Cricetulus griseus: one gene and its partner. The protein of the gene in region 1 purifies or fractionates together with the protein of each later gene. This does not show direct contact. Links are inferred from orthologs where the notes say so. Each region holds a gene or a part of one and is shown on either strand. Other genes may lie near its edges.

Evidence for each region.
Region 2: the proteins of Dcp1b (region 1) and Bag4 purify together in Homo sapiens (affinity purification with mass spectrometry; 3 studies listed by BioGRID and IntAct, counting the BioPlex papers as one, with this or other methods). This does not show direct contact. The link is inferred for Cricetulus griseus from reciprocal best matches to the Homo sapiens genes DCP1B and BAG4.

What each region holds. Positions count from the first base shown.
Region 1 is NC_048601.1:25,657,639-25,672,496, forward strand, and holds the end of Dcp1b (mRNA-decapping enzyme 1B), read right to left. Parts: intron 11,425-14,858; coding exon 11,296-11,424; intron 9,193-11,295; coding exon 8,344-9,192; intron 6,180-8,343; coding exon 6,003-6,179; intron 3,902-6,002; coding exon 3,821-3,901; 3' UTR 3,690-3,820; downstream 1-3,689. UniProt on the Homo sapiens protein: May play a role in the degradation of mRNAs, both in normal mRNA turnover and in nonsense-mediated mRNA decay. May remove the 7-methyl guanine cap structure from mRNA molecules, yielding a 5'-phosphorylated mRNA fragment and 7m-GDP.
Region 2 is NW_023276807.1:57,993,534-58,009,124, reverse strand, and holds the start of Bag4 (BAG family molecular chaperone regulator 4), read right to left. Parts: upstream 9,620-15,591; 5' UTR 9,561-9,619; coding exon 9,288-9,560; intron 2,526-9,287; coding exon 2,421-2,525; intron 1-2,420. Other genes in the region: U6 snRNA-associated Sm-like protein LSm1, read left to right, coding at 10,066-10,111, 12,525-12,593, 13,932-14,047. UniProt on the Homo sapiens protein: Inhibits the chaperone activity of HSP70/HSC70 by promoting substrate release. Prevents constitutive TNFRSF1A signaling. Negative regulator of PRKN translocation to damaged mitochondria.

The DNA of each region.
Region 1 (14,858 bases):
CTCAGCAATGGGTACACATCTAAAAATAACTAATGTGGTATCCCTCTCCCAGTCTACCAATCACAGCTGGTATTTCAGAGGTAAAGCGGAGGTCCTTGTGAGCTCCCCTCTTTGACTTGTTGATAGGGAAGTCTTGTGTGGGCCAGTATGGGTACCTACAGCTGTGACTGAATGACCGCAATTGTCATCAATCCAAATAGTGGCATTTTGTTGCCTTTTACTCTATTTTTTGGCCCTTACATACTTCTACCCTCTCTTCCACATGTCCCTTGAGCTTTATGGGTGATGGTATGTCTTGTCTGGAGCTACATATAGGCCTGGCTTTTGAAAGGGCTGGAAACAGCCGGTTGCAAGTGGCTAAGTAGCAGTAGGGCTGGCTGTCATGCTAGACAGTTCTTGAAGATGCAAACACAGGTTCTCTCCCACTGCAGTGGCCATCTTGTCTAGTTTAAGTGGGGAGATGGGGTGGCCTGTCTTCAGAATGTTTGGGACCTACATCTGCCTTCTCTGACCTACAGCTGCTTGCTGTGGTTTTGATTTGAAATGTCCCCCAAAGACCTATGTATTAAAGGCTTTGGTCCCCAATATGTGATGTTACTGGGAGGTAGTGGACAGTGTGAAGGAAGCGAGGCCTTTGGAAGCAGACCCTTGAAGGGAATGCTGGGACCCTGTTCCAGTTAAGGTTACTATTGCTATGATGAAACACCATGACCACAAGCAAGTTGGGAGGAACCAGTTTAATTGGCGTACATTTCCATATCATATAGTTCATCACTGAAGAAAGACAAGACAGCAACTCAAGCAGGGCAAGAATATGGGGCCGGATCTGATGCAGAGGCCATGGGGGGTGCTACTAACTGGCTTGTTCCCCATGGCTTACTCAGCCTGCTTCCTTACAGAACCCAGAACCACCAGCCCAGAGATGGCACCACCCACAATGGGCTGGGCTCTCCTCCATCAATCACTAATAAGAAAATGCTCTACAGGTTTGCCTATAACCCTATCTTACGGAGACATTTTCTCAATTGAGGTTTCCTCTTCTCCAATGACTCCAGTTTGTGTCAAGTTGACATAAATCCAACCAGCACAGACCTCCTTTTTCTTCCTCTTTGCTTCCTGGCTGCCACAAGACAAACAGCTTTGTTCCACCATGGCTTTCTGCCTCACATAAACAGATCCCACATTAATAAAGCCAGCCGACCACACACTAAAAATCCTTGGGATCTGTACCAAAGTAAAACATTTATTCATTGAGCGGATTCATCACAGGGTTGTTGTCACAACGATGGGAACTTAACATAGAACTTTACCTGCAAGTCAGGGGCAGGCACAGGATTACAGTGACATCACTGTGGCAGCCCATGAATTCCTTCATAAAGAAGGGGCATGGCTGCTTCCACTGCATCCATAAAGTAGGGGGTGCATAGCAAGGTGGCCCTCAGGCATATACTGTCAGGGCACTGGCTGGAAGCCTCCCACCCCAGAAGCTGTGGCTCATTCCCAATGGCTGGCAGGCAGTCCTGGACCATAACAGTTTAGTCTTCTGGACTCTGTGAGGTCTCTCAATTCATAATAAGGTGTCTCATAAAGAGACTTGTCCAAGGGCTGAAGGCAGGGCCAGGAGACTCCACTCATGCTCCACCTTCTACTCCCATCCACCTGATTCCCTTGGCTCTGCAAGGTGACACTCACCACCCTGGATGAAGCTGCCTTTAGGCACAGTACTCCAGGCTCTACCTGAAATTCCAGGCTAAACTGCTGCTGGGGCAGAGATCTTGAAATGGAAGCTGAATGTGAGTTCAGGAGGATCATGGGAAGAGGAAATGCTAATTCACATAGGAAGTTCAGTCCTGGGTGCCTAGAAAACCCTTCTGATCCCTCCTGTGTCCATGTGTCCTCAAAGCTCTGTAGAAGGCAACCCTCACCTGCTGAGGTAAGGAGGTAAGCACCCATCCTGACTGTCCTGCAGGTGGCATCTTTGGTCTAAAGGAATCGACTTGTTGTTTACTACAGTGGACAATGGAGAACCTGCCATTCTGTCAAAACAGATCACTGTAGCATTGGCCTAAAAAGGCTGCATGTCCTCTGACCTCCCATCCTGCCTTGCTCTGTTGGGCGGCAGCTGCTGCTGCTACTGCTACAGTTTTGCTTATTCATGTGAAGAAAGGGAAACTATTTTATGAAATAAAGCTATTCATTGAAACAAACATATGAGAAACGTTAAGAATGGAATTCATCTTGCCCTGGCTACAGATGCATCTTTAAACATGCAGTTAGAGAGCTTTTAAATGTCTTCCACTATTTTATTTTATTTATCACCAAACCACATTTTAAAAAACTGGTCACTGGCTAAATAACATTTTTTAAGTGCTAGGCATTTGACCCAGAACCTTATATAGGCAAGTGCCCTATCAGGGAGGTACATTGCCAATCTAATATTGCTCCAATTTTAATAGACATGTTACCAGCGTGATGCTGTTTTTACTGATTTAGGACCATAGAACCATGGATGTCTCTCTTGCTTCATTCTCCTTGTAAGACTACAGAGATGTGTATAATTACTGTTGAATATTTGAGAGACTTATATGGGCTCATAGCAGAGTTGGGTGGTATGGGAGACATCCCTTCCAGAGGCTGATACAGTAGATGCAGGGCAAGGCACAGGGCACAGTGAGGACGGACGAGCAGAGCTCAGTTCCTCTTCAGCCCTCCGTTCTGCCTCAGGGGAAAGCACACCTGTCCTCATACAGGTCAGGTGGTGCTCCTCCTGCTGCTGCGATGGATGGGCAGAGCCCAAAGCTGTAAGGAAATCCCATCCCACCTGGGCCTCCATTTTAAATTCTCCTTAAAAAGAATAAGATTCTTCTAGAAAGCTCTAGGCCAAAGACCCTTTTATGATTCAGGAATTACTAAGACGCTAAAATCATGAAGCTTTATTCTTTGCGCATCCGCACGCAGCAGGGTCAATTTCCATGTGTGCCCTTTGGGGACTGCAAGGCTCTTCTGCCTCCCTCTAGGTTTATGCTCCAGGTCTCTTTGCACATGGCCCAGCAACAGGACTGCTGCAGGGCCTGGAGAATCTTTGAACTTCTGCCCCTGAATAGCCACTACCTAGTCTCATGCTACCTCCCCTTCAGCATATTTTCTAAATGTGAGTGTCTGTTGAAAGCAAGACCAGGCTGGTCCTACTGTGTGTGTGTCCCAAGAAGTAACCTGAATTAGGGAATGTGAGTGTTGCTGCAAGTCTTGGGCCACTGTTGACACCTTCTAGATAGAAACTGGCTAGATATACCTTCAGAAAGATTCTCTCCCCAGAGGCTCAGATCAAACATGCCAAATGGAGCTTTACAAATGAAAGTCTGACTTTGTTAACAATCACCATTGCTTCCAAGAGCTCAGGAAACCTTTAGTAGGTAACTTGTGGGGTAACATTGCCCCCTGGTGGTTATCAAGCACCATGGCGCACAGAGCCCAACACTAGGAAATTGCTCTCTTTAGCTTGAGCTATTAATAAACAGCTCTGAGAACATCCCCTCCTATGAAGAGCCCAATTCTTAAAATGGCCTTATAAATGTAGGAAAAATTTAATTTTATATGACCTGAACGCAAACCATCTACCCACTCAATTAGTATGCAGGAGAATTTGATTCTTCAAAAACAAGAACAAGAACAACAACAAAACCCCAAGATATTGGACAGTACAAAACCACTTTACTTTGTATTATTATACTTTGTTAAAAAGGCAGGAATGTGTTTGGTCACACAGTTCACAGGAAGGACCTGGAAAATCAATTCTCAGTCTTTGTTCTCACGTAGTTGGTTAAGTGGCTTTTCTCATGGCTGCTTGTGTCACACTGAAGAGATAGGCTTCATAGATTATGCTTAAGAAGCTGTCATCATTCTGGAAAACAAAGCCAACAGGCCCAGGGGACCGTCACTTGAGTAGCAGAAGTCAAGGCTTCCTGCCTGGACTGAGCTGACCTTGGGTTCAGTGCCTTAACTTTGCTGTCTGTGCTGACAGCAGGGTTGGCCGGTGTGTGTGGACGTAAAGGGGCTGGAGGCAAGGTTGGGACAGAGCTGCTGGATTTAACAGTCTGTATGTGAAGACCATGTGCTCATAGCACCCGACACAGATAGCAACCCCGCCACGCGGAAGCCAGCTGTGCTGTGTGCCGGATGGGCCAGAAGGTATGAGTCACAGTCCCTTGGCAACAGCCTAGGAGTTGGCTGGTCCTTCCTAAAAATCCTCCAGGTTGCCCACAATGTCTGCACTGTTGGGGGCATTCACAGGGATTTTACCCACAGATTGGCTTATTGGTACCTTCACAAAGGCAGCATGGTTGTTCCCATGACCTGTGGGAAGTCTCTGGTTTTGGCAAATGTACAGTGGTAGATAGGTAGTCTCTGAGCCTCTGTCTCACTAAGGAGGGGAGAGAACTCTGGGTCTAAGCAGTAGTTCTCTTGATTAATGCTAGAGGCATTCCCCTCCCACTCAAATCCAACAGTTTCTGTAGTCACTACATTTCACCTTCCTGATTTACTCCCTCCCCATACCACAGTTAGCGCCATTCTCACGCCACGAAGAAAGAGATGTTATTTCTGCTTTTCCTACAAAGATGCCCAAGTGACTTTTAGCAAATATATCAGGAAGATGAAATCCACAACACGTAGAAGTGTGAACCATCTAAGTCACAACATATACCCTTAGGGTAATGTGATGAGAATTGGAATGAGCCATAAAAAGCAAGCATCTTTAAAAATCTAAACTTAGGTTTAGTTTTTTCTTCATTGTTCTGGTAAATAAATGTGCAGATATTTGTTTTAAATTCTCACAAACTCATTGGGAGCAGGTGGGCTATATTTCTATCATGGTGCATATATTTAAGATTAGTGACATAATTAAAACAGGAAGGCTCCACATCCTGGACTGCCATTCAGATGTTTGCTGTCAGTCCCATCCTTTTCATTCTCTCTAAGACAACTTTATCTTAGAAATGTTTTCACTAATAGGGACTAGACATCGGCAGAAGAACCAGACAACCACAGAGGCTGGCCTGCTCTCCTGCTGCTGGGTCCGGGGAGGAACAGAGTGCTACAAACACTTTCAAGAAGATTCCTGAACACGTTAGTGGAGGTGTCTGCTTCTGTGTGGTTTCAAGCACTACCCTTTCCAGGGCTTGTCACTCACTTGGGAGTGTGCTCAGATACATGGTGCTCTAGTCTTGACACATTAATCTACATGGTCCACACAACAGGAGACATGAACACTGCAACCAGGCTCAGTGTAACACCAGACCAACACAAGCCTCAATTTCCCTGTAGAATCAGACAAATACAAGGCTCTAATTGTTTTTATACGTGTGTGTGTGTGTGTGTGTGTGTGTGTGTGTGTGTGTGTGTGTGTGTGTGTGTATGTGTGTGTAGATGTGTGTGTAGGTATGGATATGCCACAACACACACGTGGTCAGAAGACTGGGGCATCAGGCTTGGTGGCAAGCCCCTTTACCTGATTTCATTGGCTCATATTAATAGGTTTTCCTATAGGCACTGAATGAATTATTAAACAGTGCATGGCACACTGTACGGTAGGCGCTACTACCACAGTATAGCCGAGACACTCAAGGCAGGGCTGACAAGGCGCCCTATCATTCCACCCTCTCCTGAACAGTAGGTTTCAAAACCATAGCTGAACTATGTTCATAGCAGTCACAGCCGGTGCGGCCTACAACTGTAGCTTGCCCAAGATGGCTGGCTCTGTGACTGCTCCCAACAGTGAGCTCCCGGAGTGCCTTGACTAGCCAACCATCACACACTCCCTTTCCTGCAGCTGGCACAAATCTCTTGAAGGCCTGAGATATCTCAGGCCATAGTAGTATTCTAAATATCACACAGTTAATTGTATTTAGAAGCTATTGGAGGTGGGGGTTACTCTTATGGCATCCAAAGAAGGCATCAGCAAATATAGTCTGCCATGGTGCCCACCAGTAGGTCGACAGTCTTACCTGGATGAGGTTCAGCAGTGCTTCCTGGAGCTGCAGCCTGGTGAGGGGCCTGCTGGCCATGGTGGAGGATTCCCAGTTCTGCAGGGGCAGAAGAAGGCTGGAGGAGGCAGCAGCAAGTTCTTGGCCTCCTAGGGGCATGAGCCCATTATCAGTCTCCCTCAGTGGGGCACAGGTGAACTGTGTGAAAACCACAGGGGGCATCAGCAGAGAAGCCACTGGAGCAGGGACACACTGAGATGAGGTGATCTGCTCACAGCAAAGACACGCACACAAGGCAGGGTAAGGAAACAACCCACGACAGAGCTCCAGAGATTCAAGGCCCTGTTCACAATGGTGGTAGAGGGGCTCAGTGGGAATCACCCCGGCTCAGTGGGTGGGAACGGCTGACAGGTCTGTTCCTGTTCCACTCTTGGGGGTGGGGGTACTACACAGCTCTGGAACCATCTGTGATGCCATGACCTCTGTGTATGAAGCTAGACCGCTGGTGAGTTTAGTTTTCAGGCAACATGCATTTAGGATTGCTGGATTACTCAGCACTAGCTGTCCACTGCCCTGCCCTGAGGTCCTGTCACTGGTGGGAGTGGCAGGATATGCTCGTCAGATGCTCACACAGCTCCCAGCCCTGGCTCTTCAAGGAGACACCTCTCCTGTGACTAGGAGGAGCAGTTATTTGTAGATTTGCCCCCTCTGGTCCTTCTTTGTTTATCTACAAGCATGCCTCCTGCTTCTCCTGGCTGGTGTGGGGGTGGGGACAGGGTGACCATGAGGATGATGGGCAGATAATGGGATGAAGAACAAGGAATGGACACAGGATCCTGGAGCACCATCACTATCTGTCTGCCAAGTCTAATTCCCTTGACTGGCAGGTCTAAAACCAAGTTTTCAATGGCTTTCCCAATTATGCAAGTGACATTCTGAACCGGGTCTGACTGACTCCTACAGCTACCATGTGTCTCTAACTCAGATGATGAAGGTACCTTACTTCTCAGCCTCAGAGTGTTCCAGCACTCATGAGAAGGAAGCTGAGAAACAGCAATTTAGGCATGGCTGTAATTTTATCATCACTCCCTTGGCATCTTTGGGGGCAGAAAGTGGCCTACAGGGAGACAGGATCTTGTTTCGTTTAGCTTTCCCTATTTGCCAGCCCAAAGAGAGGAGTTGAGAGCTGATGCTCCCAAAGGGAGGAGTCACAGCATCATGGGGGAGCACACGTGGGCTGATGGGTACACGTTCCTTATTTGGTTCCTGACATTTGTGAGAACTAAAAACAAAGAGAATTGTATATGCAGAGATCTGAGTCTGATTATTAGCCCTGATTTTCTTATTCTAAACCATCAAAGACAAATGAAAGCAGACATTTAGTAAGGGGCCAGTACTCTGCACTGCAGTGAGAGTGAGGACAAAGCCTCTGTTTGCAACAGGAAGCACCTGCAGTTGTGATTTAATAAAAACAAACACCTTGACTTGGTCCACACACCTAAACATCAAGGTTTGTGCCCTGGGCCTTTGTTTTAAAAATGTGAACAATTTCTGAGGAGCTACTATGTGATAAAACATGTCAAAAAGACCAACATATATATATATATATATATATATATATATATATATAATCTATCTATCTATCTATCTATCTATCTATCTATCTATCTATCTATCTATCTATCTATCCCTGGCTTCTGACGACCCAGTTGCTGATGGGTACAGACACCTATCCTTCAAGAAAGATCCGTTATTTCTAGAACTGACACTCCGTTCCCTGCTCTGGCAGTTTGTGGGTGGTACACTTGTGTCTGATGGATTTTCACAATACTGATCACCTAGAAGGCAATAAAAACAGCAGCATCTTTACTGCCGTGTCTGTTTACTTTAGGAACCTACAGGGTTGTTGGCTGCGAGATGCAGAGTCTGCTTTCTCCACAACTGTGTAAAGTGGCTACTAACATGTAGGAAGCACTCAAAGTCATACGTGGAGCCAACGAACAAGCAATAATCAACCATAGGATGAAAGCCAAGAATCTGCCAGATGTTTCCATCCCAAAACTGCCATGGGTCTTCAGAGTCAAAGACTAGTTGTTTTTCCACATCTGGGCTGGTCTTCGGGCCTTAGGACATGGTAAAGATTTAACTTTACAAACCACCTCTAACTGGCAGAGGACATCAGACTGTAAGCAGACAGGAGCTTCTCTTTCTAGGCAGAAAGGCAAGGTGAAAGACAAAGAGACACACTGGGGGGGGGGGTTTGGGTGGCTGGTCTAAGTGGAAACCCACGTGACACAGGTTCCCGGTAGCAGAGCCAATCCCACTGCATTACGATAGCAGCCATCTCCCAGTATATATTTACCTGAGGAAGAGGAGCTTGTTTCTCCATGCTGGCTGTCTTGTTGGCCCAGGCTTCCAAGGGCTTTTCTGTCCCCGAGCCATGGGCTGACACGGGGAACCTGGCTGCTAAGGCTGGCCGTGGGGCCGCCTGCAGCTGCTGCCCCTGATGTACTACCTGGAGCTTTCTCAGCAGCTCCTGAGTAGGAAGCACACTGGGGCTGCTCTCCTGGTGGCTGGAGAGGGACAGCGCTTGTGCTGGCAGTGCACACTGCTCCTTCCTGAGAGTCTGATGTCCTGGTGTGGGAGGAGGAAGGGGGCCACTGAAATACACCAGCTGTGAGTGAGCCACGCTTTGGCACGGAGCCAGCTGAGTGGCCACAGCTGGGCTGGCAGGTGCACAGGGCTTAAACTTATGTGCTGCCCCAGAAGCACCTTGAAGTTGCTCTAGCAGCTTGTGGCTTCTGCAAGTGCTCTGTGCACAGTGTGCAGTCCCACCGTTCCAGGGTGACCCCAGGTGGACAGGACCAGGGAGAACTCCCCTTGCATGACTGGGGCTGCCACTTTCACAGGGCCACTGTTGAGGGTGCTGTGGCAGCGGGTGCAGCCCCGTGCTCCCGACCATGAGTTTCTGAATGGCTGGACATAGTTGCTTCTCCACGGGGAGTGAGAGCCTTCTGGGATTGTCATAGGACAGGGGGCATGCAACTCCTTGATGAATGGGAAGCTGCTCTTGCTGTTGGTGGTGGTGGTGGTGGTGGTGATGGTGGTGGGTGAATGTCCCAGAGGGTTTCAGAGTTTCATGACATGGAGCTTTGTCTTGTTTCCCAAATAGAGCTGTCAAAGATAAGTGTTGGGGCTCAGGGTCCGAGGTCTGGGGGTGGAAAAAGATATCCAAAAATAGGTTCACATAGTTTGGTTATGGGAGGGAGAGGCTGTGAAGCATAACTCAGCTAACTGTTGGTTTCCTCTGTTTACAAAGGATCAATGACCGAGGTGAAATTTATTAACTCGAAAAGTTCGATACCTCTGAAATGTCTAATATCTTTACAGCATTCTCCCCTCTCTGTCCCCAAGGCTTTTGTTAGACCACAGTATCTGGTCATTTGATATTTGAATGTAATCCTTGAGGGGTCTGCAGCTCACAGATTAGGGGACAAAACTACACTCTATAGTATAAAATGGCCGGTACTTCATGGTAACCCATCTCTATAGCCAGGGCCCATCTAGGGTTGCTGAGAACAACTAGAATGTACTAGAAATAAGCAGGATGTAAGAGCTCCAGGTTCCTGGCAGCTTTCACGGCATTGTAGAGAGCTAAGGCTAGAAAGAAATAAGTATTTTAATCTAGCATGCAAAGACCAGGTGTATATGATGCCGTGGCCTGGCCACTACACCACTCCTGCCCTCCTTGCCCCTGAGCCAGCCCTCTTTCCCCACCTTCTGCTTGAAAACATAAGCTCCATTCTAACGTCAATGTGTCTTGGTTTATCTACTGAAATGAAATAGATTCTCATGGAAAATACGAAAAGCTAAAATAACTTAGAAAACATTTCTTTTTTTGAAAAATTCAAAACAAGACTTTCATTAGTCAAGTCATTTTATGTCTTTGGCTCATGCTCACTTTCAGAACTGATTTAAACTAATTCCTTGAAAGCCACCTCTTTACTTAGGAATAATAACTCTGATGAAGGAACAGACATGTTCCCTTACAATCAACAATGGGCCTTGCTAATTAGCAAATTTTGTCTCTGCTGTACTGTTCTGAATAGCACACAACACACATACCGCCCCAGGTCTGTGGGGCTTTGACTACTCTCTGGCCCAAAGCTAATCCACAGCAGGGACTCCATGCTGCACACCCAGTGCCTGGCATAGTATAGGCTTAGTATAGGGTGGTGCTCAGAAATGTTACATTTTATTGTGCTGCCATGGTGACTGCTCCGCCAGTGGCCTGAGAAGCCACCTATCCCAGAAGAATACGGACCCAGAGGTTTATGCTTCTGCCTTGCCTGACACCTGCTGTTTTAACAATATACGATCTTCTAAGGGGTCTCAGCTCACGAGCCACGAGCCCATCATGTGGTAAATCCAACAGTCCCCGAGGAAGGGCACCGGTGCTGCATAGTTAGTTCATGCACAGAGCAACAAGACCCTGCCTTTCTCCACTGATCTTCCGTGTCCCTCAGCAATGCCAGGCCTTCTCCTGCAGTACGTGGGTCAAGCTCTTTGAGAATCCCAGAGAGGCCACAGATAAAAATCCCCCGGTTTCTGTAATTACTCCAGGTTATATACTCAGATTGGGAGATCTGGAGCCAGGAGCCTCAGATGAGAGAGAACATACGACATTTGTCTTTCTGAGTCTGAGTTACCTCACTTCAATATTATCTTTTCTAGGTTTACACATTTACTTCAAATTTTCATGATTTCAGTTCTCTTTACAGCTGGACAGTATTCCATTGCATATGTGCACCACATTTTCATACCCACCCATGAGCTGAAGGACATTTAGGATGTTTCTATTTCCTAGCTATTGTGAATAGCGTGGCATGACACCAACCGAAGGCAAGCTGACCTGAAAGGGGCGACCTCATGCGGCCTCACTCCTAGACAAAGAACTCCAGTCAGTTAAGGAAAGCTGAGAGTTGGAGACACTGTCTCCCCCACCAAAGAGCACACTAACTGCCTATCCAATACCAAATGGTCAGCACTAGAAACATGTACATACGAGTAACACTGTACACATATATATGACAAATAACCTGGACTGAACAGGTTGTATTAATATAGTTAGGGATATGTAATATCTAGGAATTAAAGAAATGGAGGTCATTAATTTGAGAGAAGGCAAAGGGAATTTACAAGGGAAGGGTTGGCGGGAGGAAAGGGGGAGACATTGTAATTACATTTTAATTCCAAAACCTGAAAAATATGTTTTTTCTTTTAAAAACAAAACAAAAAGGCAGAAGACGCATACCTTGTTGGGCGGGGGTTCTTGTAGCCTGTGGCTACTACTGGGTCTCACCGGGACAGGTTTGATAAGCTTAGGGTTGTCACAAATGGCGGAAGAACTGGTTATCTGTTTTGGCTCAGAACAGGTTTTACACTGGAATGGAAAAAACACAGATACTTCGTTTTTGATGGAAATAAAAGAAGCTTGAGTGTTTTTATACCCCTTCTTGCTTATCTAATTGGTAGATAAGCAAGCAATTTTAAAAATTGGCTATTTTTAAAATAAGTTTTTATGCATGAAGGATAATCTCTTCTACTTTTCTGATAGGAACTGCATTTGGGTAGAAGTCAACTACAAACTTATTTTTTTGTGTGTGTAACTCAGTACCCTAAAATATTACTACCTAACATCAGCTAGCCCCAAGGACCCACATGCTCTTGGATACTTGGAAGGCTATGTATGCATTTACTTAAGAAGAAACCGTTTAAAACAACCAATCTAATAAGTTTCAATGGTAAACAATCACAGAAATAATATAGAGTAGAGTACTGGGAGCTGCTAAAAATATTTAACCCAAATTTGGCCCACAAACTAAAAAGTAATGCTGTCTCAAACCACTGATTTAAAAATTGCTAACACCATTTTTATTAATAGATGACTTCTTGCATAAACAGGATAATTTAAATGAAGTGTTCTGAGCCACTTACAACAAATTAGAATTTCATAAACAGACGAAGCAAGCCTCATCATTTCAAATACTGACTCATTATCACCTGTTAATCTAACCAACCATGCAATTGCTAACAGTAGGATTCATAACAAAAGCGCCTGACAATAATGCTGTGATTTATTTTGTTAAAACATCAAAGAAAACAATACAACAGGACCTTCCAGGCTGCAGACTCTTTTGGAGCATTTGCTTCAGCTGCCCAGCTAATGCCTCATGCCTGAAAACAGTCACCACATCTGACAAGGCACGAGTGACAGGCACCATCTCATCTCTGCAACCCCAAAGTTCTCAAGGGGTTTTCCAGCTACTGGGGCATATTCTCTTATTCTAGCACATGGGCTTTGGGTTGGTTGTCACTGTGTGCACCTGTCTTTTAGATCAACCACACAAAAGTCTAACTGTATTTTCCAAGAGTTCTGTCAATTCTTTGGCCATTAGGCATTAGTACTGAATAGTGTGTGGAATTGCTTTTCAGTCATAAAATGTTATTTTTGTGTTCATATCAAGTGAGTGACAGTAATGGGTAGTGTCACTGCATGGGTTGACTGCTGTCTTCCTTACAGCAGGGCAGACAAGGCAAGGCAAGGCAAGGTAAGGCAAGGCAAGGCAAAAACACATAAGACCCTGACTTATAAAGTGATGGCTAGAGGAGTTGTTAGCCCCTGTTGCCACTTACAAGGAGGTGGTGTTAATTCTACAGAATGATTTTCTTTTAAACAAAGAAAACTGACATTCCCCCACCTTTCCTATGCTTTGAGGTAGCTTTGCCTCCTATTATACATCACTCCTTAGATATTTTTTTCCCTTTTCTTTTTTAGACAGGTTTCAGACCATCCTGGATTAAGTAGTAAGACTTATCTCAAAAACACAAAGCATGAGCCCCAACAACACAGCTCAGTGGGTAAGGGCACCTGCCACCAAGCCTCATGACCTGAGTTTGATCCTTGGAACCCATATGGTGGAAGGACAGAACCGACTTTCACAAGTTGTCCTCTTCTGACCTTCACATATGTGCTGTGGTACCCCTCCCCAATGAATAAATAAAAGGTAATAAAAATTGTAAGCCAAAACAAAAAGCATAAAAGTAGACTTGAACAAACCTAAGTGTATGCCCTGTTCTTAGCTAAAGACTAAGAAGACTGAATGTAAAGTTGTCAGTTCTCCTTTAGTCTATAAGTCCGAGGTTATTTCTAAATAAATACTGCTGTTTTCTTTTCTTCTCCTTTTCCAGGAACAGAGAAGCTGATTTTAAGGGGAAGATGGGCTTTAGAGTGTTGGGGAATGGGGGTTGGGGAGGGGCACTGTAAAAACAAGCAATATTGGCCAGAGGTAGAGTAGAGAGCCATGAAGCAGGCTTTACTTGATGCTAAAAAAATGGTTATGAAAATTAAGGGTACTCTGGGTTGTTAAAATTGGATGTGAACATGCAGGGTACTGTAGATTATTGGTATTCATACATAGTAACCAGACAGGCCAACAGGATAGCAGAAGCCAGATTTAGATGCAAGTATGGGTCATGTTTATGCAGGATGCTATAGATTGTTGGTATTCATACATAGTAACCAGACAGGCCAACAGGATAGCGAAAGCTGGATTTAGATGCAATTATAGGTCAAGTTTATGATATGATAAAGAACTGTTTCAGATCAGTTATATGAATGGGTTCTTAAGTAAACAGTGTTGAGGCAACTGGTACCATTTAGAAAAGTACAGAATCCAAACTGTGCCTCAAGCCACATCCCAGGATAAATCTCAAATGTGTTAGAAAATTCAGGTTCCAAAAGAAAACCTACTTTGCAATCTAGGAAAAAAGAATTCTTAACTATGCCTTAAAACTCAAAACCAATTAATTTCAACTATATAAAAAAATTAACATTTGCAAATTTTAAAAAAATATAAAAACAACAAAACAAAACAAAAAGCTGGCCAGTAGTGACACATGCCTTTAACCCCAGCACTCCGGAGACAGAGACAAGTAATGTCTCTGAGTTCTAGGCCAGCCTGATCTACAAAGTGAGTTGGAGAACAGCCAGAGCTGTTAGACAAAGAAACCCTGTCTCCCAAACCAAAACAAACAAACAACATGAAATGTAACAGCTGAGAAGAAATATTCACACCTAAAAACTAGGTGTCCCCCAAAAATTGAAATATAAAAGATTAACACTCTTTAAAAAAAAAGATTGACACTCTCTAGAGAAATGGGCAAAGTAAAATAAAGAAAAAATAATTTAGAATTTGGAAAATGGGTACGGAAAATTAAGAAAATGTAACTGAGTTTTACATTATGACATCATTAAGAAAATCATGACTTCAAGCCAAAATGTTTGAGCTGAAAAGTCTCGGTAGATTATACTTTAAGGGTGAAAAGAACAACAAATTAGAAACTTAATTCAGTGGTCTTATTATTAGTAGGAATATTGGCCTTATAATTTTTCATCCATTACAGATACAATAAATGAGAAATTACAAACCTTGATATAAGAGATGAAAATCTAAGTTAAAGTTGCATCTTAAGTAGTAAGTGGAGACATCAAAATTAGTTCGTTTTGTTTCTTAACTATGGAAACAAAACTGCAAGCTCCTGGCTCCCTGAAAAGACTCATAAATGATTGACAGCCCTAAAAAGTGTCAGAGCCCTTTGAAGAAGTTCCTGATTGCAGGGCAAATGGGGACTGAGTGCTGGACATGCAATCTTGTATAATGACTGTGGATAATGGTGATGAGTGGGAGAGAAAGCGTGGACCAAATTCAACCAAAACAAAGCTATTACTGTCTTTCCTTGGAGAGTACTCAGACACTGATAATAGAGCGTATGTGCATGTGTGTGCACGCGTGTGTGTGTGTGTGTGTGTGTGTG
Region 2 (15,591 bases), on another chromosome or scaffold:
GTGCCACCAGCACCCATGGACAGCTATAATCCTAAACTATAAGTACAAAGCAGAAAGAGGGAGCTCAAAGTCTCTCAAGTCTTTAAACCCTCAAAGTCTACCCCAATGACATACTTCCTTAAGCAAGGCCACACCTCTTAAGTCTCATAAACAGTACCACCAACTGAGGTCCAAGTTTTCAAATGCCAGAGCCAATGGGGGGGGTGGGGGTGGGCAGGACAATCTCATTTAAACCACCACGATATGGTAGTTTTTGTTTTTATTTTTGTTGATTTTTAAATGAACATACTTAGGTTTATTTACTAGCAATAAGATATGCTAGTTGGAATTTTCTTCAAAATACTCTAAGAAATACTCCAAAGATAAATACGGTCAAGTGTTGAGACTTGTGGAAGCTGAGAGGACATTTGTTTCTTTTGTTTGAAATTTTCCCTAATGGTAAAGAGGAGGAGGAAGCAGCAGCTGGGGATGGTGGTCATCGGTCCACACGTAATTCCTGCACAAGGGACTAAGCGCTCTCTCAGAAAGGAGGAAGTTCCTGTCACTGAGTCTGTAAACTGCACATGACACACAGGCACAAAAGTTTGCAATAGGGCAGCAGAGATGGCTCAATGGGTAAAAGTGCCTGTTTTGCAAGCCTAGTGACAGCAGTTTCATCCCTAGAGCCCAGGGAAAATAGCTTCTGATACAGATGTTTCATTTCTTTTCTCTGTAACTTAAATTTTTTTCAGTAACATAAATAAAAATATTTTCTGAAAAAAAAAAAAAAAAGAAAAGAAAAAGAAAATAGCTCCTGAGAGCTGTCCTCTGCCTTCCACAAGTACACTGTGGCACACTCCACACAGACAGACTATGGAAAAAATGGATTAAAACATTTAAAAGATATGTAAGTGTTTCAGGTATATACAGATGACAAAGGAAAGGCTGAAGACGCATTTCCCAAATACAACCATATTAGGACAGTACAAACAGTTATTTTTACTCTTTCTTATTTTCAATTTCACTTATATGCCTGTCTGTCTGAGAAGGGTCTTACTCTGGAATTCACTGTGAAGCCTCTGTTAGTGCTAAACTTGCGGTTCTTCTTATCTCTGCTTCTGCATCCTCTTTTCCCCCTTATTTTGGTTTTTCTCTATGAAACAGTCCTGACTGTCCTGGAACTCACTCTGTAGACCAGGCTAGCCTTGAACTCACAGAGATCTGCCTGCCTCTGCCTCCTGAGTGCTGGGATTAAAGGCGTGTGACTCCACTGCCTGGACAGTTTTCTTAAGGCATGATCATGTTTAAATCTTTATTATCTCAGTCATCTCAGGAACCATCTTAAATAAATCTGCAACTATTCCATATATGCCATCTGGAAAATCAGCACTTCTGGGTCTTTGTTAATAGCTACAATTACCTTGTTGTCTAAATACTAGACGGCTCCAGACATCCTGACAGCAATATAAAGTTCCTGTCTGACCAAGCTGCATGCCATTAGGAACAAAGCCAGCATCAATAACAGCATGGGAAGCACCAACTGCACTATATAGCTGATTTGCAAATCATCTAACAATGTAAAACCCCAACCCCAGATACCATCACTCTGGCACCAGTTAGTTCTGGTTGATCACTCTCAATTTCTAGTCTAGCCACTCTCATACTCCTGCTGGCAAAGAACCTGGTGCCTTCTCTGAACTTGCACTATCTCCACTTGTTGCTGCAGCCTCAAAAGTCGTTCCCTGAAAGCCAGGTGGTGCTGGCACATACCTTTAATCCCAGTACTTCGGGAGGCAGAGGCAGGCGGATCTCTGTGAGTTTGAGGCCAGCCTGGTCTACAGAGCAAGCTCCAGGCCAGGCTCCAAAGATACAGGGGGAAAAAAAAAAGAATATGATCAAAACATATAGAATGAAGAAAATTAAATAAAATAAAAAAGGAAAATGTCATAATGAGACCCATCATTATATATACTTAATAAATGCATATATATATATATATATATATATATATATATTATATTTTTTTTTTTTCTTTTTCCCCTCGAGACAGTGTTTCTCTGTAGCTTTGGATGCTGTCCTTGAACTCACTCTGTAGACCAGGCTGGCCTCGAACTCAGAGATCCACCTGCCTCTGCCTCACAAGTGCTGGGATTAAAGGCATGCACCACCACCACCCGGCTTGCTAATAATTTTTTTAATTAAAGCTTCGTAGAGTGCTTACTTAAGTGTTCATGAAGCCCTGGATTTGATCCGTAACACTAAATAAAACTGAGTGTGGTAACAGGGGCCTATAATCCTAGCACTTGTGAGATGGAGCCACAAGGATCAAGAAGTTCAAGGTCAACCTCAACTATACACAATTTCAGGCCATCCTGTGCTATATAAAACTGTCTTAAAAAAAAAAAAGAAAAAAGACAGAAAATCTCAATTTTCAGTCATACCTGGCCTTGTAACTCTGGTCTCACAGGATATGCATTTGGGTATGGAGCCCTCGGTCGCACAGAATTCCAGTAGTTGGAATTATAGCCAGGGTATGGTGATTGTTCCTAAGGAAAAAGGGAAAACAAGTTAATTTTAAACAGCATTCTTCTTGTTGTTGATGCTTTCATTTCGAACAGTTTCCCTATTTATTTCCAGGTTGACCTCAAACTTGCAATCCTCCTGCCCCTAGCTAGAATTCCCAGTTAGAATTACAGGTGTGCATTACCACATTCAATTCACTCTGTTTTTAAATTTTGTTTTGTTTGAGACAGGGTTTCTTTGTTTAACAGCTCTGGCTGTCCTGGAACTCGTTCTTTAGACCATGCTGGCCTTGAACTCACGGAGATCCTCCTGCCTCTCTTTCTCTGCCTCCTCAATGCTAGAAATGGCGTGTACCAGTACTGCCTGGCCCAATTCACTCTTAATAACGAATGGTTAGATGGGAAAATGGATACCTCTAACAAGAGGCAAGATAATGGGAATCAAAAGGAACACCAGACAACAAAAGGAGCCCTACTATAAGGCCACTATAATTATTAAACTTAAAAAGATATAAGTACAAAGTATATCACATGCCCCAGAACAAAACAACTATTGAATAGCTGGTAAAAGACTGATCTTGGCCGGCCATTGTGGCACATGCCTTTAATCCTAGCACTCGGGAGGCAGAGGCAGGTGAATCTCTCTGAGTTCGAGGACAGCCTAGTCTACAGAGCAAGTTCCAGGGCAACCTCCAAAGCCACAGAGAAACCCAGTCTCGAAAAACAAAAAACAACAACACACAAAAGAAGAGTAATCTTATGCATTATCCACCATACAATGAAATGATAATAAAAGGGATTCTATGTCGAGATGGATAGCAAAACCATAGACAGTAATTTGCCTTCTCCCAATTCCAGTTGTCAGTACATGTTGAGTATACCCAATCTGAAAATCTGAAATCCAAACTGCCCTAATTCTGGATATTTTGAGCTTTGATATGGCATTCCAGGAGGAAAAAGTCACACTTGATCTCGGGTAATGAGCTGCAGTCAAATGCATGTAATGGACAGAGAGAGTGGCTCAGTGGTAGAGTCCTTATCAAGCTCATTCAAGGCTCTAGGTTCCATTCTCAGCACAGCAAAACAAACAAATAAATGCAGGGGTATTAAAATGTTGTACAGTTAGTTGCCTTTAAAGTTTACAAACATGTAAAAGTTGTACATTCTTGAATTTCATGTTTACATTTAGGTCCTGCCTTCAAAATAATTCATGATTTTTATGCAGGTATCTTCAAAAATCTGAAACCTGAAGTATTTCTGGTCCTAAATGTTTCAGGTATGAAATAGCCTGTTTAACATAGTTATTTGTCACTATTTAGGATAATACTTAACATAACAACGGTAGAATATGAAACTATTACTACTCAAGTTACTACACGTAAATACATCTTTTTTTTTTTTTTTTTTTTGTATTCTAGTGCTTTTTCCTATGGCTAAGCTTTCTGCTTACAACCTATAACTTCAGTACCATCAACTCATATAGAACAATCACCCTTGAAGGAGTAAGTCTAGCTGTGATGACATCTTTTCAGGCTGCGTCCTCAAATAAATTGCAATAAAGCCACTAAACTCTTGTAAGAATCCCCCAAACCAATTCTTAAACTTTTCCAAAGCACTGACTATCTAGTTTAACACATGATGTGTTTATTATTCAGTAAGGTGAGTTACTAGGCTTTGAACTTAAGAGTTTAAGTGTACTTTTGGCTCATAACAAACCATTTTTATTTCCTTTAAAGAAGAGGGTTTTGTCTGTTGGTTTTTGTGGTTTGTTGGTTATGCTGGATTAAACCTGGAATTATTGTGTATCTACACTCTTTCCCACGACTTTAAATCATGAGTAAAGACATGAGAAGACAAGGGCTGAAGCTGATTGCCCTAGGGGTGGTGGGGCCAAGTCTAAATCTTAAGAACTCCATCAAGGGACTGTCCTTCCAGTTGACTCTTTCAGGTTCAAATTTTACTACCAGTATCGTCCACACTATCCATTAGCTTTCTTCCTGACTCAGCTTCCTAACACCATATCCCTTGCTTTTCTTTCTTCAGATACCCACCTCACAAAAACCAAACCCTGTTGAAATGGAGTTATCCACTGTGTAGAGAAAACACAAGCAGCTCTCTAGTTTGTTTGTTTTTAGTTTGTCCTTTTTTACTTCCCATACTGGGGATTAAACCCAGAGTTTTAAGAAGCTAGGCAAGTATTCTATCAGTTTGGTACATCCTTAGCCATTTGTTATTTTACTTTAACATAGGGTTCTACAGAGTTGCCAGGCTGGTCTGAAAATTTCTAACCTTTCATCCTAAACTACCTCATGAGATGGGATTGCAGGCCTGGCCAAGCTCTCTTCTGTCTTCACTTTACACTATTGCTGTGTATCTCAAGAAGACACTCAGCACTGCTAACAATTACACAGACTACACAGTAGGCTTGCCCACACTCCACAACAATCTGAGTACATTTAATCAGGGTTGCTCCAATGAGCATGGATGAAGAGTTATTCACAGGAGCACAGACAGCATAACAGAGGCTACATCACTGAAGACTACCCAAACCCACCCCCAGCAACGATTAACTGTCAATGGTGCCTCTGGAAGGGGTGGGGCCTTGTCAGCCACTCTCTACTAGCATGTTTATGGCCTACAAATCCTCAGAAAGGTGGAGTCGCATGAGTCTCTCCTCCGTTACAGAGTGCTGCTAAGCCCAATATTGCGCAGGTAATCACAGCTACTGTGACTTCACCAATGCAACGATCATGTCACACCCAGAAGACAGTCTTCCCTAACAGCCCTCTCCTTTCTCTGGCTCTTAGTATTCCCATCCCCCACTTCCTTAATGTTCTTTGAGCCTTGGAAGGATAAAATATATGTCCCATTTAGGGCTGAGCATTCAACAGTCACATTTTTTTTCCAGCACATTAACCAGTTGTTAAGTCTCAGCACTAATCACCACCCACTATAACACACACATAAACCCTACCACCACCACTACCAACAACAGCAAACCTTTGACCAAACCTGAGAATAGCACTCATCTGTGAGCATCTGTAAACTTATGTTTACATAAGTAATTTGAAGGAAGATCTTTAGTGGGCACAATTTGTTCATTTAGCAAAACAGCAATTCTCTCCTGTAGTGGGACTCAAACACGAAGTGATTTGTTAACCCTATAACAGTCACACCACTATCACATAAGTGGGCACATTTTGGTAGGCAAGTTAGTGGTTTAGCATGGGTCCATATCTGGTTAAGACTGTTAGGATTTTTTTTTTCCCCCAAGATGCTTGCATAGCAACTCAAGGCATTATGAAAGTTAGCCAGCAGGGAGAAAGCTTCCAGCTCAGTTTCACTTTAATTTCTCTGTCCTGAAAACAACTCATTAAGTATCTTCAACAACAGGATTTTACCATCTAGCTCTGGTGGCCAACCAAGAGCAGTGGCAACAGAATAGAAAGAAATATTACAAACAACATGCATGTAAATACATCATATGTGTGTCTGGTGCCAGAAGGGGGCGACAGACCACCTGGAACTAGAGTTACAGACAGTTGTGAACTGTCATGTGAATGCTGAATTGAACCCAGGTCCTCTGGAAGAGTATCCAATGCTCATAACCATTGAGCTATCTCTCCAGCCCTAGAAGTTGCTCTCTCAAAAAAATGGATGAAAGCCTGGTGGTAGTGGCACAAGCCTTTAATTCCAGCTCTTAGGAGGCAGAAGTAGGCTAGTCTGAGTTCAAGACCAGCCTGGTCTACAAATCAAGTTCCAGGACAGCCAGAGCTACACAGAGAAACCCTGTCTCAAAACAAAACAAACAAACAATAAACCCCAAACCAAACCTGGTAAAAGTAGATTTCCAGTTTTCCTCTATACCATATTTAAATTTGTTAATTAAAAAAAAAAACAAAACAGGTAGGGTGGAGCTCACCTATACTACGAATTTGAGAGGTAGAGGCAAGAAGCTCAGAAATTCAAGATCATCCTTGGCTACATGGTGAGTTTGGGGCCAGCCTAAGATACAAGAGACCCATCTTGGAAAAATTAATGAGTAAAATCAAGTCTTTGTGTGTTCAGAGTAAGCTCCTCAACGTACTTGACCCTTTGCTGTGCACATGAATCAGTTGCAAGACTCTGCATTTCTAACAGCCTTGCAGTGATAGTAAAGGTTGCTACCCACAGATCACACTTTCTAGGTAGATTTTTAAAGTTTCCTGTAGGATTGCAGCTATAGGCAGGTCACTGATAAAAAATATGCCTAGAATATACAAGGCCCTGGGTACAAGTCTCACCATTAGGGGGAAAACAAAGAAAAAAATTCCTATACCCCTCTTTTCCGCATGTGAGGACACTGTACATGCATATTAAAGCCCGAGGCTGATTCCCTCAATTGCTCTTCTATCTCACTCAAAGAGGTGGGGTCTCTCAATCAAAAACCACAGCTCTCTGGCATTGCTAGCTAGTCTTGCCAGCCAGCTAGATCTAAGGATCCCAACTCTACCCTCTAAAGCTGGAATCACAGACAAGCCACCCAGCATTTACACGGGGTCTAGGGAGCCAATGCCCTGACTTCACATACAAGGCAAGCACCTTGGCCACAGAGCATTTCCCTAGTAGTGTTTTTGTTTGTTTGTTTGTTTGGTTTGGTTTTTTGTTTGTTTGTTTCTAAGATATATTATAAAATTTACTAAAATTCAATAAAGTTAGATTGTGGGTTTGAAAAAAAACGTACGTCTATGGCAACATGCATATCTTTGATTTGTTTTTTTTTGTTTGTTTTTTTGTTTTTTTTTTTTCTGGCTGTATAAGAAATTCTACCCTTTCATTGGGCATGGTGGCATATGCCTTTAATCCCAGCAGTCTGGAGGCCGAGGAAGAGGCAGGCAGACCCCTGAGTTTGAGGCCAGCCTAGTCTATAGAGTGAGTTCCAGGACAGTCAGGGCTACACAGAGAAACCCTATCTGGGGGGTGGGAGGAGAAGAAAAAGAAAAGAAATGAAATCCAATCCTTAACTTCTCAAGTTTCAGGATCATCACCCTGAAAAGTAAAGTTTAAAATGATTTATAAATGCCCATTATATGTTTCCAGTTCTATGTCAAACTATTCTAGCACCATAACCTACACTATTAGAACAGCTTTACTCCAACCAAACCTCACAACTCTCTACATGACACTGGAACTTTAACTTTTGCAAGTCTTTTTTCTATCTCTACTCCAGAAAACAGACTTAAGAGTTTGATAATATAGAAAACTCAATAGAAGTCAGTTGGCAGTTTAAAGATCACTCCTTTTCTTCATCAACTGATCTTTAATTTGGGCGAGTACTTCATCGCTAGACCATAAAAGTCCAACAGCCTACTTATTCCATCTTACTTATGGAATCAGCACAGAAAATATGGATTCTTCTTTACGTTAACCTCTTAGTACTGCATGTATTCATTCTTACACAAGTTTTAGAGAAATACTTAGTCCACCCTTTTAAAATGTACAATTCAGGGGTTTTTAAGGTACTCAAAACTGTGAAGCCCTTATCACTAACTTCAGAACACTAACACTTCAGAGGCCAGTTTTTCAATGCTTCCTTCCAGTCTCCAACTCCAGCAGCCACTAATGTTTCTGTCTCTAGGAACTTCTTACGGTGGCACTACATTTAAATGAAACTCAATCCTTGTGACTACCTTCACCCACCATGCATGATCTATTCAAGGTTCATCCACGTTGAAACAAATTGAATAGAGAATTCATTACTTTCTGGATGTTATGTTTTAGAACATATGCTATTGTATCCAGCCATTGGTAATCCAGCCATCAGTTGATAACTACATGAGTTTTTGGCCGTTGTGATTAATGATGCTATGAAGACATGTTAAACAACTTTTTAGGTGGACATGTCTTCCATTTCTTTTTTGTTTTTGTTTTTTGTTGTTTTCCATTTCTTGAGTATACTTAACAAGTGGATCTGCTAGATCACAAGCTAATTCTCTGCCACAAATTTTACAAACTACCCAGCTATTTCCCAAAGCACTGTAGTATTTTGCAATCCCATCATTAATGATTGGGAAATTTTATAGTTCATTTTCAGAAAATAAGGATGTTATGAAGGCCAAAGATGTGTGCCACCATCCTATACCATTTCTCCTTACAAGGAAAAAAATGGGAATACATTTTTGGCATGTATACAGGTAATAAAATGTTACAGGTCCAAATATATTAGGCAAGTTAATCTCCCAGAGCCGCCTTCTTTCACAAATGGGAAGCATTAATAACATCTGTCTTTCAGCCTTGTGGTGATTAAATAGAACATAAAGGTACTTTGCAACATTGATTATTCGTGATTCAATCCCAGGCAAAGATTTAGTGATAAGGGACTAAATGATGGATCCCCCCCCACCCCTCCCCCGCGGGAGGGGCTGCTGAGTAACGCCTGGGACTGCAGCTGCCCGAGCCACGCAGGATAAATTTTTACAGCCCAATCACCCTACATTACGCTCTCGGGAGACAGATTCCTGCAGCCTGCTACTAAGCTTAGGAAGTCAGCGCAGAATAATTTTTTTTTTTTTTTTTTTGGTGATAACTGGCACTCTTATGACGGCTGAAGTAAAAATGAAGGGACAAATGGAACACAAGCATCTATCCCCTCACTTACGTCTCCAGTCTCTTTCTCTGCACCTTCCCCAGAAGAAGAACAAATCAGAAACCCGAGTCGTAACAAACCCTAAGTATAAAACCCCCAATGGTCCTCACCTCCGCCCAAGACTTCCCTTCTGGGTCCCGGGAAAAGACTGCGAAGCTTACCTGGTGTGCGCCTCCGGCTCTGCTCGGCTCTGCCCAGGCGGCTCCGGAGGGGTAGTAGGCATCGCCACCTGCGCCTTCTCCGGGCCAGGTGGTCTCGGCCGGGGCGCCCCCGCGCCCTCGCCAGGAAACTGGAGGCTGGGGAGGCTCGGGCCGAAGAGGAGGGTATAAGGGCGGAGGTACGTGCACCGGGACATCGCCACCCCCGGGCCCATAGTAGCGGCCGTACGAAGGGCCGTCACTGGGGCCGTAGCCCGAGCGCCTCAGGGCCGACATGGGCTCCGCTGCCGCGAAGCGCTTCCCGCCCCCCACGGCCGGCCCATTGCGCAGGCGCCTGCGGGCGACAGGTACTGGCCGGCGGCGAAAGGGGTCGGACGGCTGCAGCCAATCCCGAGCAAGTCCCGCCCCTTGCACGCCGAGCGCCGAGCCTGGGATGGAGCGTACCCCTCACTCTGGGGCTCGGAGCAGGAAAGCGGAGAGACACGGTACTCGTGACGCGCGGGGGAAACGCCTGTCTCCCCGCCCTCCGTCCAGTCGATCTGGACTCCACTTCACTGCCCCGAGAGGAAGAGACGCTGCCCACCACCGCTCGCCCGGCACGCCTCTTTCTGTGGACGGACAGGCGATACCGGAAGTGGGTGGGGTAACTTGAAAGCGCTTCCGGCGACTAGCGGCAATTGAGTTGCAGGTGAGCGGCGGGTTCCCGTCCGTGTCCCGCCGACGGGCGACTGGATGCCCTCGCCCACCGTGGCTGTCCAGGGCAGCCTTGCCTGAGCTCAAAATGAACTATATGCCCGGCACCGCCAGCCTCATCGAGGACATCGACAGTGAGTACCTCTCCCCGGGGGAAGCCTGGTGTGGGACCTTTCCTCGAGAGGGCTCCCCTCGAGACGGAGCTTCGAGAGTGAGCCCTGGCCCCGGCGGGCTGGTCTGCCTTCACAGCCTCGGAGCCCATCCCTAACCTGCCTCCCCTGCCCCTGGACTGGGGACCCTCACCCTGTGGAACTCCTTCCGAGGGGCGCAGCATCCGACGTGCGAACTGTGAAGTGACCCAGGCGACTTCCTTCGTGTACCCTGCCTTTCCTGCAAGTTATACTTGACGGCAGATGGTTGAGTGCTTCTAGGAGGACCCACCAAAACCCGAAAATGTTAAGACGGCAGCAGTTGAATTTAATTAGCAGTCAGCGCAGGTTTTCTGTTGTGTAGCCCCTTGCAACCTTCTTTTTCTATGAGGGTCGTTAGCGCTTTCAGATTAAAGTGGGGCAGGTGTCAGCTGTAATAACTGACTTTTTTAGAAAGGCGAAGTCTCTTCAGACTTACTTTTTTTCTGTTCGACAGCTTTGCTTTTCCTGAAAATAGGTCAGTTCTGTATAAACCAAGAGGATACAATTTCTTTTAAGGATTTTTATTGTTTATATTTGCATGTCTTGCATGTACGTGCACCGTGTGCGTGCCTGGTATCCACGAAGTCAGATACCCTTTTCTTCATCAAATCCTCTGGAATTGGAGTTGTTTTTTGTTTGTTTGTTTGTTTTGAGACAGGGTTTCTCTGTGGCTTTGGGGGCTGTCCTGGAACACACTCTGTAGACCAGGCTGGTCTCCAACTCACAGAGATCTGCCTGCCTCTGCCTCCCAAGTGCTGGAATTAAAGACATACACCACCACTGCCCAACCTGGAACTGGAGTTAAGGACAGTTGAGAGCCACAGTGTGGGTGCTAGTAACCGAACTCATCCTCTGTAAGGGTAACATGTGCTCATTTGAGCCATCTCTCCAGCCCACACTTTAATTTTTACCCCTAAATTCTTACCTGGTTCCTCAAACAGCTTTTTCTTGTTGTTTTGTTTTTTTGAGACAGGATTTATCTGTAATATCACTGGCTATGCTGGAACTCCCTCTGTAGACCAGGCTAGCTGCCTCTGCCTCCCGAGTGCTGGGATTAAAGGTGTGCATCACCACTGTCCGGCCTTTCACACAGCATTTTAAAAGCAACATTAAAGAAAAAAAACAAGATGTATATGAGTATGTATGTCTGTGTACTCTGTGCTTGCCTGCTGCTGGGGAGACCAAAAGAGGAAGTAGCATCCCCTGGAACTAGAGTTATAGGGGTTGTGAGCCACCATGTGGGTGCTGGGAATTGAACCCGGGTCCTTTGTAAGAGCAGCCAGTGCTCTTAACCACTGAGCCCTCTCACCATCCCTCTATTGATTTCTTGGTCTCTCTAACACTAGTTCTTGCTAATTTCCTTATCTTTCTGGACATTACTGTTTTCTAGATCAGGTGGTCAGAGCTGCCTGTTTGGTCTGTTTTCTCTAAATCTGTAGGCATTATAGACCTATTTTAGCATCGTAACTCCTATTTTCCATGTACCAGTCTTCAGTGTTTTCTTATTCCTTTTGAAGTTAAAGCTTGCCTCTAATACTTTTCTGACTTTAACTCCTGTTCTTTCCTTTAACTTTGAGACAAATGTTAATATACTACTTTTCCTCTGTATGCTTTATTTATTAGATTTTTTTTTTCATTTTGCTTTCCCTTTTCATAGACAAAATTTATCCTTCTAGGTCCAACTGGGATAGGTGTAGTTTCTTTCTTAAGTAAGATTTGCTTGATTGTGATAATTAGTTGTAGCCTAATATGACTATAAATTCCTTAGGGAAGAATCATAGCTCCTCTCTTCATATAGAAAGTACTTTATGCTGGGCATTGGTGACTCACACCTTTAATCCCAGCACTCAGGAGTCAGAGGCAGCCGATCTCTGAATTTGAGACCAGCCTGGTCTACAGAATGACTTTCAGGACAGCCAGAACAAAAACCAACAAACAAAAGTACTTTATGCATAGCATTAAAGAAATGAGTGGTTAAAATCTTGTATGCTTTTCTAATATCTGGCTTATTCTAATCCTTTACTGTCACTCTAAAGTTATCTCTTCAGAGAGAGCTCCCCTCCACACTTGGTATAGCCACTTTGGTGTGTTCTTCATTCTACTATCATGCTGTCTTATATATTATTCTGTTGTATTTGTCACATGACGTAATTCTACCACTGAGTCTTTCCAACACTGATCTCATCTAAATCCCAGCCTGCCCTAGTCTTCCCTCCCAAGTCTTACAACGAACACCACCCTAAAAACATTAGAAGAGGGTCCAGCTTAAACAGCTAGTAACTAAATTTTTATTGTTACCATATAAGCTCACTGGAACTGTCGCTTTTGTTTTAAAGATCTTTTCTCCTTTCCCCAGAAAAGCACTTGGTCCTGCTACGAGATGGAAGGACACTTATAGGTTTTCTAAGAAGCATCGATCAGTTTGGTATGTATTGTTATGAACTCACCCTTTACTCAACATTGAATTTTTTTGGTGTCATTTTATATTCAAATTTACTCATCTTTTTACTCTTAACTTTTCCCCATGTGTCAGCAAAGTGAACTGAAACTGATTTTCACTAGTGTTTTTATTTCCCCATTAGAGGGAGCCAAATGACAGAAAAAAGGTTAGTCTTCAAATCATTTCCTGTGGTCATCCCTCCCTGTCCCCTGAAAATAGAGTAGAAGCCATTTCCTGAAACTGTTAAGGGGGAGGGGGACAATAAACTCAATAGTTTACATATACGAATATGTCAGATTTGGGAGTTAGTTTTCATTTTGTAGTCTGCATTTTCTGAAGTAAGAATCTTTGGTATGAGATGCTTCTGAGTTCACACTGAACATTTATAGGTCATCTGTTAGATCACCAGATTGGAATGTGAGGAAAAACTTAGCTAAACCACTGGAATTTAGAAAATAATAAACAGCCAGCCATGAGCCTTTGGAAACAGATCAAGAACAATCTCAAACCAAGACAATAAGATAACATCACAGGGCTAGAGAGATGGCTTAGGGGTTAGGAGCACTGACTGTTCTTCCAGAGGACCCAGGTTCAATTCCCAGCACCCACATGGCAGCTCACAACTATCTATAACTCCAGTTCCAGGGGATACAACACCCTCACACAGACATACATGCAGGCAAAATACCAATGTACATAACATAAAACAAAATTAAAAAAAGAATACAAACATCAATTTTTGTTTTACTTCAAGTAAAACAAGTAGTACTAATTGAAAGAAAAAATATTCCTACAGGTTATTGTTCTCAATCTTAAGTTAAATTCAACTGAGTGCTTTGAAGGGATAAATAGTGAATATTGAGATTACCAGGTATGTTTGTACTTACAAAAAAACAGTTTTAATCTTGGCAGTTGTCTAGGCTCAGGTTTTCAAGATTTCTATTTGTTTCTATCTTTCTAGAGATACTAGCAGTTAAATAATACAGAAGTAACTTACTCCTGCCTTCATTCATTCATTCATTAGCACAAATAATGGAAAATATTCTTTACTTGTTTGAATGTCTCCTAAAACTGAACATATGGTGGCTTTCTGCCTGTAATCACAGCGTGTATAAGAGATTGAGGCAGGAGAATCATCATAAATTTTGAGACAGCCTGAATTCCATCATGATTTCCAGGTCAAGTGAGGCTAGAATGAGATCCTTCCCTCCCCCCTCCCGCCAAAAAATAAAAATAAAACAAATTCTCCTAAATGGTTGGTTATAATCAGTGGAATTTAAAAATAACTAAATAATTGAATGTTTCTTCTCTGTGTACTTGTAGCTAACTTAGTGCTGCATCAAACTGTGGAGCGCATTCATGTGGGCAAAAAGTACGGTGATATTCCTCGAGGGATTTTTGTGGTCAGAGGAGAAAATGTGGTCCTACTAGGAGAAATAGTAAGTGAAAACTGTTAAGCTGCTGTGGATCTGGGCACTGATGCTAGCTGGCTTCTTCCCAAGTTCAACAGGCTTCTCACAAGAACCCACCAGTTAGGGAAGCTGTAGTTGCTAAAGCAACACTGCAAAAGGTAGTTAACATCATTCCATTGCCTTTTGCCTTTTTAAAAATTTGATCTTGCTAGCAAAATATTGTTGGCTTTAGCTGATAGAAAACAATATTTCTGGTGCTTGCTTTCATAGCACATATACTAATACTGGAGTAATAGAAAGATTAGCATGGCCCCTGTGAAAGCATGACACACAGATCTGTTAAGTGTTCCATGTTTTTTCATCTAGAAAGAAACAAACAGTATTTCCGGGTGTGGTGGCTCATGTCTGTAATCCCAGCAGTTGGGAAGTTATGGTAAATGGAACTCCTCTAGTTTGAAGCTAAGCTGTGCTACATGGTGAGTTCCAAGCCAACCTGGGCTCCAAAATAACACCCTCTTTTAAAAGAGCTAGGCAATGAAACATACCTTTAATCCCAGTACTTGGGAGGCAGAGGCAGGTGGCTCTCTGTGAGTTTAAGTCTACAGAGATAGTTCTAGGACAGCGGGGCTACACAAAGAAACCCTGTTTCAGACCCCACCCACCCCCCAAAAAAAGAATAAAACAAGAACAAATACACTGATCATTTGTATAGTTTTAAATAGTGTCTAATAACAAAAAGTTAGAAAATTTTAACGATATGTCCTGATTTATAAAAGTATAATTTAAAGCTGGAAGTATATCACAATGGTAAAAATCCTTGCCTCGCTCTGAAAATTTACATGTTTGGATATATTAATTATTTAAATAATTGGTTAGGAGTTGGAGAGATGACTTGGTGATTAAGAGCACATACTGTTCTCACTGAGAACCTGAGTTTGGTTCCCGGCTCACAACTGCTTATAACTCAAGCTCCAGGGGATACCAGAACACCTATGTTCATATGCACATGCTGTCCCCAACACATAAATAGTTTTAAAAAATAATAAGATTAAATAATTGGTTGCAAGTAGCTTTTCATGGCATGAAGTTAATTGGAAGCATTTAAGGAAAGTATCTTATAGACTTTTAAAGGGGAAAAAGGAAAATAATAGGTATAGGCAAAGCCAGTCTAAGGTTTCAGAGTGGATGACCAGAGAGCAGGGACCTGAATATTTGTGTCAGAAGGACCAGATAGTAAGTGAAATGTTAAATTACATCTCACTATGTGTATTTGTGTGTGTATACATTAGCAGATGATTATATGTATATGTGTTTTTTATATACATACATATGTTTGAAGTATTCAGATTTTTTTTTTTTTTTTTTTTTTTTTTTGTCAAATCTTACTGGGTTTGCTAGGAAAATCAAAGTCCCTGTGAGACTGGTTGAAATTCAGAATTGGGCAAGGGATGTTGCTTTGATAGCATGTATAGTACCACAACAGAAGATGGGGAAAGAAAGAAGGCGAGAGATGAAGAAATTAAAGACTGAAAACCTATTTTCAAGAAAATCCTGCATTTGATGTTTTCTTA